Linked DNA regions of Oryzias latipes. The protein of the gene in region 1 binds, or shares a complex with, the protein of each later gene. Links are inferred from orthologs where the notes say so. Each region holds a gene or a part of one and is shown in the gene's direction. Other genes may lie near its edges. The genes, in order: tbp, taf8 and taf12.

Region 1 (2,958 bases):
TTTGTAGTGAGGAACAGTCCAGGTTAGCAGCTAGAAAATATGCCCGTGTGGTGCAAAAGCTCGGTTTTCCTGCAAAGTTTTTGGACTTCAAGATTCAAAACATGGTGGGCAGTTGTGATGTCAAGTTTCCCATTCGTCTGGAAGGACTGGTCCTCACACATCAGCAGTTCAGCAGGTAATTTCTCCTTGTTTTACTGCAGATTTAAAGAATCCGTATAAAAATCCCTGAAAGGCTTTTCAAAAATGTGACAGTTTAATCGACTATTGACAGTTATTGATAAGAAAATATGTTGGGACAGCTGTGCTGACACACATGCCAACTTAGGTATTAAACATATATGTTTAACATAAAAGAAAATATTAAGTAAAAAAATAAATCTGAATGGATGACAAATGATATAAATGTACTGAACAAGCACCACAATGATATGTATGCATCAGATTTTATTAATGCTCCAAAACCATCCATTTTTTAAACTGGTTTCCTGCAGTGTCTGTAAATCTGATAAGCAGGTCAGAATTGAACAAAATCCTAAACCACAATCTGACTCACAGACAGAAGTTTGACACTCAGATGGCAAACTATATATTTTTTTTTTATTCTCCTGGTTTTATTTTGCTTTTCTAAAATGAGGTAATATTTGTATTGCAGCTATGAGCCGGAGCTTTTTCCAGGCCTGATTTACAGAATGATCAAACCTAGAATTGTGCTGCTTATCTTTGTTTCTGGGAAGGTGGTACTCACAGGTAAGTTTTCACTAGACTTTTTTGTTTCCTATTGTGAGTAAAACAGGATGTTAACTGTATGTACTTATTGTTTACACTTTTATTTAGCATTTTTCTATTTTTTCTTTGTTCTCCGTGAAGTATTTAGAATTTTGTTGATGTAAAATTGAAGTTCCAAAACAGATTTTTAAATTCTTTTTGATGAGCTTTACCTTCTGTTTTTTAACTTATTGTATTTATTTCTATTTTTAGGTGCCAAGGTGAGAGCAGAAATCTATGAAGCTTTTGAAAACATTTATCCCATCCTGAAAGGATTCCGCAAGACTACGTAGAACTTATAATTCCCTGTTTTCTATCCAAACGCTATAACTTTTTACATTTCTGTCTATTTTTTCTTTAATATTCACTGAGATGTTAACATTTTAATATTGACCTCTTCAAGTTGACAGTAAAGACTTGAATGTGAAAGACTATTTGTCTTTCCCTTAATTTTTTTTTTAACCAAAAAGACATTTTAAAGGTCCTCTGCTCGTTTCCTCATCACAATTGATCTTCACCCGGAACTTTACCTGCTTTTAGCTTTTACATTTTCTTCTCTTCCTCGCTGGCAAGTTTTCTTACATCGAATTGTACGAAAATGTAAAAAGTATTGAAGAAAAAGGCAGGTAGACCGGGACTTTTCCTGGTTTTATTTCAGTGTTTCAGGTTTTGTATATATTGCAAACTGATTTTTTTCTATCTTTACTCGATTTATGAATGATTTCTCCTTATTTTTTGGGTCAACCCCTTGTAAACAATCTTGCCACAAAATCGATTAACTTTTCAAATTTCAAATTAAACTGAAGCCATACTTGTCCCCAGGTTACAGTGAAAGCCCTCATTTTATAACGAATAGAAACCATTTCAATAATTGAGTTATCCGATCCAGACTGTAGTTTGTTCTGCAATAATTTGCCTTTACCAGTCAAAGTCACCCCATGTTTCCATCATTGCTTGAAGCTTTTTATTTTTTATGAAGAAACTGAGCATAATTGTGATATCAGATGTGCTTTATTGTAAAACTTGTACAAATGTATATAACTTATTTTCAATTATTAGTCATTCAAAGTTGATAGGATGTTCCAAAAAGCTTAAAGCAAACAGGAAACTTGGAAAAATGATGTTAACAGGCATTCAAAACAATAATGTTCATTAGTCTGTCTTCAATTTAAATGCACCAAGACAAAGGAGTTTGTTTTTTTCTATAAATCTCTGCAGAGAGTGAGTTAACAGTGTAAATGCTCCTGCTTGTCCTGGTTTTTTTTCTTTCTTTCTTTTTGCAAAACTTTGTTTAGAAAAGTACTTATCACTTTTTGATTTGAGTTTCTGGCACTTGTTGATTTCATTTTCTCGTTAACCAACCTAAGGATTACCTTTCAGAAGCCAAACTTTTAAAATAAGTTTCAACTTAACGTCTGTTCCACTTATTATGGATGTTGTCACCAGAAATCCATTTTCCATTTGGATACCTGTTCCTCCACAACTGTTAGAGCTGTACTGTGCGTTAATAAACGTGTTCATACATCCTGTTCATAAAGCAGAGTTTTGTCTTTGTAACATCTGAGGTTTTTTTTACTTTAAGCAGTGTGTTTGCCACAGACTCATTTATTTATCTGAAACTATCTGGAGGAAATTTTTTGAAGTAAAAAAAACCCCTTCAATTTCTTCAAGTCTAGAAAAGAAACTTGAATCGGTCACATTGGGTGGAAACCTATAGAGTTCATAGGTCATCAGATCCATGACATTCAGTAGTTTTTATACAGTTTTCTGTAAGTATTGTTAAATTGAACACTTTGAAATTTGAGTAACATGGTGGTTCAACAGCACAATATGTAAGGTAAAAGAACCAATGGTTTTCTCTTAGTTCTATTTATAAGCAGTAAAACAGCTGCTGTTATTGGAGATGCATCTGAATGAACGGCCCAAACTGGTCTGTAGTGGCACATGACTTGTATTGGCTAATAAGGTCACGTTTAAAGTTTACTCGGTTGAAGTTGTCATTTCGTGAATTTGAAGATGTTTCCAAACTTTTCCGTTTTGGTGTTTGTTGTATTTGTGGTTTTTGGATTTGTGACAAATTTTCTCCTCAAACATCTAGGTTTTCCATCTTTCAGATAAAGACTGCTTTTCCAAAAAGGTTTATGTTGTAAAAAAAATTTTTTTTTACATTTAGTTTCTCTGTAGTAAAAATAA
Region 2 (3,756 bases), on another chromosome or scaffold:
GAGGGGCCCAGCAGGAACATGGTGAAGATCTACGCGCTGGGCTCTGCTCTGACCCTGCTGGGAATGGTCGGCGGAATGGTGGAAATGATTCTCCTGCCCTTTTCTGGGGACAGCCCTGCTGATGGCAAACAGACTGCTGAGCTTTTCATGGACAAGAAGAGAAGGGAGAGGCTGCTGCTGAAATCCCACCATGTCCAGATCCCCACTGAAGCTGAGGACATACTGAGCGTGGTGGTGCCTGAGGTCAAGCCCAAACATCTGGGCATGGTCACAAGGAGAAGCTCGGCCACTCGCCTGCATGCTTCCTAAAAAGACTTTCTCACTTTAACGGAAATGGACAATGGCAGACCTTTTTATTTTTATGAATTTCTAATTTATTTTAGTTTTGGTAAAAATGTTTTCTGCCCCTTTTTTTAACAGAATGTCAGATGTGGTGATACACTAAAAACTGCAGGACACAGTGACCTCAGGCTGCTGGGCAGCAGATTCTAATATGGATCAAATACCATGGGAAGGAAAGGGGAATTGTGCAATTCAATTTATTGTGTGTTTTAATAAAAATGGTGTTGTGCTAACCACTGGTACTCAGATTATAGGAAAATAGTGTCTACTTAAAGAGGCACATTTGCTGCTCCTGCACTGAAAAATCGTGAGAAATTGAACAAAACTTTTTTCTTTTAGTCTTGCTTTGATGGCATCAAGTATTTGGTGATTGAGGTACTTAATAGATGTCTGTGCAACAAGCCTGAATTAAAATGGGTTTTTTAATTGAAAATCACAATATTTTCTCTCTTTATTTTTTCAATTTTTTGGAAAAAAATATAACATTTATTCAGGATAACTTAACACTTTCAAAAAAAAAGTCAGATATTTGAATGCATTTTATGTTGTTTTTGTCATGAAGCCGTTTCTTTTCTTCCATCTGCCAGTGGATAAAAATGACAATGTAAACAATCGCAGTACTGTAGACGGACGTTAGGGGGCAGTGTCGGCTAAACTCAAGACATTCACAATCGTTTCCGTCTGAATGACGGAAGTGTCGTCATACATGGACAACTTATTTACTAGCGGTGGCTTATCGTGTCTAAGCGAATAAATCTGTTTAATTTAAAAAATTCACACCTAAAAAGGAGACATTTTTGAAGTTATTTCCAATGGCAGATCCCGCCGTGACGCCGGGAGGCGCGTTAAACTCCAGCGGGGTAAGAAAAGCGTTTGTGTTTGTCGTAAATGCTGCAGGTTTGCATCGGAAAGCTTGCTAGCAGCCACATCTGGATGCGGAAAGGTTTCATCGTTGATTTTGGGTTAAATGGCAACAAGTACGATTATACTCCACTTTGTTTTGAACGACTAGCTGAGCTAGCTTTAGTGTTTTTGTGCAACATGCTCTGTAAATGATTCTCTTCATGTTGAGACTATTGTTTCGGACGGAGTATATCTATGCTAACTAAGCCGACTATTCTTGATGATGAGGTTTTTAGTTTTCTGAACCTCCTGAAGGTTGCAACTCTCTTTAATACCTCCGAGCCCTCCTGGACTCTTTAGTACTGCCCTAACAGCAATTCAAAATATAAATTCACCCTTATTTATAGAGCGCTTTTCCTGCTACAGAACACCTCGATGTGCTTTATACAAAGAAAAAAATGTATAATGGTAATCATTAACATAAATTGCATGGTGGCGCAGTGGTTAGGACTCTTGCGCCCTGGTTCAAGTCCCGGCTGTGGGAACCTGAAACAGAACGGGACCTTTCTGCTTGGAGTTCGCATGTTCTCCCCGTCCATGAGTGGGTTTTCTCCGGGGACTCCAGCTTCCTCCTGGCGACCTGTGCAGGATGTTCCCTACCTTCGCCAACGAGTGGCCGGGATGGGCTCTGTAGCCCCGTGACTCCGAAAGGGTCTTAACGGGTTTAGAAGATGAAATGAAATTAGCATTAACATAATAAATATTGATTAACACATACACAATCTACAAGTCTCCAAAATAAAAAATAAAATATGAGGAAATGTACCAAACTCCTTGGAAAGCTACACAGATAAGTTTTGAGTTCTGTCTTAAGCCTCTACATTGGATGAAGCCCTCACATCCACAGTGCTGAAATGTGGCCTCGCTTTCTGTTCTGACCTTTGGGACCATCAGCAGACCTGCACCTAAGGTCTCTGAGAGGGTCATCAACTAAAAGCAGTTCTGATTAAAACTGAAGTTCCATTTTTTTATTAGCATGAGACTTGTAGAAACTAACAAAAGAACCTTAAAATGGATCTTTATGCTCCCTGGGAGCCAGTGCAAGATTTCAACATTTCAGTAATGTGCTCCTTCTTTCTGACTCTGCTTAAGAGGTGCACAGTTGAGTTTAGAACAAGCTGCAGCCAATAAAGATAAAGATAATCTATTTTAGATGTTAAAAAAGTGTGGATTCATATTTCAGTGCTGGCTTTGGAGAGAAAGGGTCTCACTCAGACAATATTTCTAAGATGAAAAAATGCAGTCTGCATCAAAAATCCCACCAAGATTTCTGAGTTTATAAGTAATGGGTTTATAAGGAAAAATGGACCCTCTCTTCTCAGCTTCAGGGCCAAGATTTAAGAAATGTCTGTTTTGTCTGTATTGAGCTTTAAGAAAGTTCTCTCCAATCCAAGTTTCAACATCTAAAAAACAACTTAAAAGGTCATCAGTGGGTCCCAAGTCATCAAGTGTCTCCTGATGACATCACCAAGTTGAAGCATGTACAGGTTAAAAAGTGTAGAACCAAGGACGGAGCCTTGTGGCATCCCACATGTCAGTCTGTGTTATGACGCATCATTTACATCAACATTAAAATCTCTTCCTGTGAAATGAAATTCAAAACGTCTGGAGACCGTTTCAGTGATAACATCTGCATAAGTATTTCTTAGGAACTGTAAACACAAGCAGCTGCTGCAGATTTTTTTCATTGTTGTGTTTATGATAAACGAACAAGTTTTACTTTAGATTTGAGCTGCTGTTTTGTAGACACTACAGAGGAAGGAAACTGACACGTCACACAGTGAAGATATGTGCAGGGCGCTGAAAGCTAGGCTGAAAGGAACATTGGTGAGCAACAGTATGGTTTCATGCAAAGGCTGAGAACCACAGATCCAACATTTGCTTTTAGGACGCTTCTGGAGAGGAACAGAGAAGGTCAGAAGGAGCTGCATTGTGTCTTTGTAGATCTAGAGAAAATGTATGACAGAAAACAGAGAAAGGAGCTGCGGTCTGGATGAGGAGTCTGGAGGAACAGAAGAACGTTGGAATTATGCAGGATATGGATGAGAGCTGGAAGACGTTGGTAAAAAATGTTCTGTAGGCACGACAGAGGAGTTCAAGGTGGAGGTGGGACTGCACCAGGGATCATCTTCGAGCACCCTCTTGTTTCCATGGTGATGGACAGTCTTGACGGATGAGGTTGGACAGGAATCTGTGTGGATCATGATGTTTGCAGATGACATTATGATCTATAGTGAGAGGTAGCAGGCGGAGGTTTCCTCTGGAAATGAGATGAATGAAGGAGCGGAATTCGAGTGGAACAGGGAGTAAAGGTGGAGGACTTTAAGTTCTTTGGGTCAAACAGTCCAGATCAACAGAGAGTGTGGGAAGGAAACGAAGAGCTCCCTCTTCATCTCTTCCCCTTGGAACCTCCCATTCCAAGGAGGTTAAGACAGGTGAAGGAAGGTTTCAGGTGTGACAAGATTGTTAGCAAGAACGAAAGGAAAGGTGTATAAGTCTGTGTTATGATCG
Region 3 (3,756 bases), on another chromosome or scaffold:
TTTTTTTTTATTTTTTATAAGCGTTATCGTTGTTTTTAGATTTAATGACAGAGTTTTGCTGATGGATGTTGACATGGGAAATGACTGTGTGAACCAGAAACGCAGCTGTCCACTCTCTGCTCCAATAATCACGACTGCTCTCTGCGCGTCACGCGTCGCTCAGGGAACCAAACCACTTCTGTTTTAACCTGAGCTTTGCGGGTGTGTTTTTTTTTCTTTCCTTCCTCATAAGAGCCATCATGAAAAAAATGTGTTAACGATGTTTCTCACACTTTTTGGTGCGATGTGGAAAACCTATCAAGCCAACATTTCACGCTTTATTTTATTTCACTGCTCACGGGGGATAAAAAAAATTGTTTTTAGTGTAATCTTAGTTGTTTTTTTTTTAATTAAGACCTTCAGTTATATTAAAATGAAAAAGGGAAAAAAAGAAAAGGGAAAACTCGTTTACATCTAACAAAGACAATGCCTACGATGGCGTATGCTACATCATCTTGCATTATAAAAAAGTTTGTTTAAAAATATATTTCCAATAAAACAACAGCATGGCGTGAAAATAAACACTGAGATGTGAAAGTATACAGAGTATTGAGACGTAAAGAAAATCATAAATATTGGCAACCAGACCAATCTAGATTAATCGATTTGTTTTCCTGTGATTCAACCAGATCGATCTGTCTAAAGCAAATTGGTAAACGAATTGACATCTACCTTTATCAAATTGTTTCTAATAGTCATAGACAACAGACAACACACATGTAATGGCAGCAAAAAATGATCGAGCCGTCATTACAGTCCAATGCTTTGAAACATTTTTCATTTTTTGCAAAGAATTTTGTGACCATAGTAGAATGGTAGAATGTTCTAATATTGTTCAGATTATTTTATTTTGATGTGGAAAAACAGACGTGGGCTGAACTTTATGAAACTAAATTTTGACTGTAGATTTACTATTAATTGTTGTTTACGTGTTTGTTTGTTTGTTTGTTTGTTTGTTTGTTTGTTTGTTTGTTTGTTTGTTTGTTTGTTTGTTTGTTTGTGCACATATTTAATTTACATTTGATTATCTTGCAAGAAATACAACAAGGAATCTGTTCAGTACCGAGTCACACTGGCTGTTTTTTTTTGCTCAATTTTAGGTCAGTGAATTGGATGAAATTGGATGTTTCAAAATGAACCGATATCAACTTTGAATCCTATTAGCAACCACAAATTATGATACAGATCAAATCGTTTTTTAAAATGAATCGTAACACCCTTAATATTTATTATGTTTCCTATCAAAAACTTAAAAAATAACCCACAATCTTTTATAAAGCAACTGAATGACAGGCCATCTAAAAAACAAGCGTTCTCGTTTATTGTATTTATATATTTTATTTTCCGTGCTTCTCCACAGAGGCCGATTTTGTTCACGTGTTATTGAAGTGCCACACACAGTCCGACAGGGGGCAGCGTAGCGTGGACACGGTTCTACCGGAAACAGAATCGGGCAAAAGCGGAAGTTCCGAATATTGCTCCCTGAATTCTGGAACGGTTGTTGCCTGTTCGTAGACAAATTTAGTGTCAAAGACGTACCTTTCCCTCGAAGTAATGACGAAAATGGACAGATAGTGTTAATTTAAAAAGGTGAGTCAATAAAAAGCTGCCACGACTTAGAATTTTGTTTGAGGAACGCCGAACTGAGAAATTAGCTGCTGAATTTAGCAAGGCTAACTTCAAAGCTTTGTAGCTGCTATTGTTTTTAGCACTAACAAATCTGTTAACGTTGGATTCTTATCTGTGTACTAAAGAATTTATGTAATAATGGCATTTGCTTACTTTGTTGTATTTTATTAAATTAGCCTAAAGCCCTTAAGACATCGTGTAGCGTTAAGCTAAGCGCTTTCTGCTGCGCGCGTTTTCCGGTCTCTGTTTTGGAGTAAATAATTAGGGGAAGCAGACATCAGATTTACTAGTTTAATTAAAACATACTTGCATTTTGTATTGGATGCAAACGCTAGTTTTTAGGCTTATTAAATGCTGCTTTAAGCTACATGCAGTTAACCGAAGTAAACTAAATTGGGAGGGAAATGTTTTTGGGAATGGATCATCTTTTTTTCCTAATTTCACTGAAATTTGTACTGTTTTTCTACAAATTTAAGGTTGTGGTTCCTTGAAAAAGCGGTGCTTTCGACTGCCACGCAGGATTTGGGAGAGCCTTACCCGGGCCACCAGCGTCTTGTAACTTAAAGAACTGCTTTGCGCTTCCTCCTTGACCTTGATCACTGAGAATGGCCAATAGCACCCCAATAATAGTGAAGAGCCTGCCTGCTGGTCCTGCAGGTAGAAGCAGCCCAGAAGGATCTCAGGTTGAGTATTTTTCAGTTTTGTATTTAGTATACAGTAAACCCTTGTTTTTCGCGGGGGTTACGTTCCAAAAAGAACCCGTGATAGGCAAAATCCGTGAAGTAGAAACCTTTGTTTTTTCTTACAATGAATTCATTCATTCATTCATTCATTCATTTTTTTGAATGAAGAACACAATGCACGATGCAAATCCGTGAAGTAGCGAAACCGTGAAAAGTAAACCGCGTTATAGCAAGGGATCACTGTAACCACTTTTATGTCCTTATATTTTTATATATAACTTTTGAAATGTATTCTATTTGAGATATTGTTTATATTTTATCTAATGTAAAACTGTTTCATCTATTTGTCTTTTTTTTGCAACAACTACCATGTACGCTTTTGAATTTGATGCTTTGTATTTTGTTTTATTTTTTTACCTGAAAATATTTCTATTGTGTGACTGCAGCTAACAGCTACTTCGGGATACTGTTTAATTGTGAAACACAAACCTTACACTCACATGTGTAAGTGTTACACTTTCTCTTTCCTCTTGTCTTCAGGTCCTCTCTAAGAAGAAACTGCAGGACCTGGTGAGAGAAATTGACCCAAATGAGCAACTGGATGAGGATGTTGAAGAGGTCAGATTAAAAAAATATTGTAACCTCTTATAAAGACTATTAAAAGACATGCCTGTTGTATACCTTATTTAATATTTTCAATGCTTACGTCCGTCCAGCATTTCAAACTGTTACGTAGAAAACATGGATTTTTGTTACATTCATAAATCAGAACATATCTTTATTTGTGTGTAAAATCTTACTTTGTTGAGTTCCTTTGAGGCCTTCATATGTTTTTTCTTCTCAGATGCTTCTACAAATTGCAGATGACTTCATAGAAAGTGTTGTGACAGCAGCCTGTCAGCTGGCACGCCATCGCAAATCAAACACGTTGGAGGTTAAAGACGTTCAGTTACATCTAGGTATGTTTTTTACAGGCTAAATGCCCTTTTATTTTGTACTTTTTGTTTGATAAATATTTAGTGGAAACTAAGGGATTTTTGTCTTATTGTTGTGTTGTTTTTATGTATTTTAGAGCGTCAATGGAACATGTGGATTCCTGGTTATGGCTCTGATGAAATTCGACCGTATAAGAAGGCTTGCACCACAGAAGCTCATAAACAGGTAAACGATAGAGTAATTTTTCTGTTTGTGAAGTCATATTATTGCCGTAATTGTTAATTTTAGTTCCCTTTTCTTGAGTCTAATGCTCCCCATGTGTTTCTTTTTCAGAGAATGGCACTGATCCGCAAGACGACTAAAAAATAAAAGGGCAAGCCCTTAGGTTGAACCCAATTTGTATATTTTCAAATTTTTAACTTTTCTTTTATGCAATTGTTTTCATTTCCACTTGAGTTTGTCATTTTAT

The links.
Region 2: tbp (region 1) and taf8 share a complex: the UniProt entries of both Homo sapiens proteins name them as parts of the TFIID basal transcription factor complex. The link is inferred for Oryzias latipes from reciprocal best matches to the Homo sapiens genes TBP and TAF8.
Region 3: tbp (region 1) and taf12 share a complex: the UniProt entries of both Homo sapiens proteins name them as parts of the TFIID basal transcription factor complex. The link is inferred for Oryzias latipes from reciprocal best matches to the Homo sapiens genes TBP and TAF12.

The regions. Positions count from the first base shown.
Region 1 is NC_019861.2:24,478,765-24,481,722, reverse strand, and holds the end of tbp (TATA-box-binding protein), read left to right. Parts: intron 1-7; coding exon 8-175; intron 176-652; coding exon 653-747; intron 748-978; coding exon 979-1,058; 3' UTR 1,059-2,302; downstream 2,303-2,958. UniProt on the Homo sapiens protein: The TFIID basal transcription factor complex plays a major role in the initiation of RNA polymerase II (Pol II)-dependent transcription.
Region 2 is NC_019865.2:25,322,869-25,326,624, forward strand, and holds the start of taf8 (transcription initiation factor TFIID subunit 8), read left to right. Parts: upstream 1-1,014; 5' UTR 1,015-1,154; coding exon 1,155-1,202; intron 1,203-3,756. UniProt on the Homo sapiens protein: The TFIID basal transcription factor complex plays a major role in the initiation of RNA polymerase II (Pol II)-dependent transcription.
Region 3 is NC_019874.2:22,542,451-22,546,206, forward strand, and holds the start of taf12 (transcription initiation factor TFIID subunit 12), read left to right. Parts: upstream 1-1,475; 5' UTR 1,476-1,629; intron 1,630-2,144; 5' UTR 2,145-2,273; coding exon 2,274-2,351; intron 2,352-2,891; coding exon 2,892-2,969; intron 2,970-3,195; coding exon 3,196-3,310; intron 3,311-3,423; coding exon 3,424-3,512; intron 3,513-3,620; coding exon 3,621-3,656; 3' UTR 3,657-3,756. UniProt on the Homo sapiens protein: The TFIID basal transcription factor complex plays a major role in the initiation of RNA polymerase II (Pol II)-dependent transcription.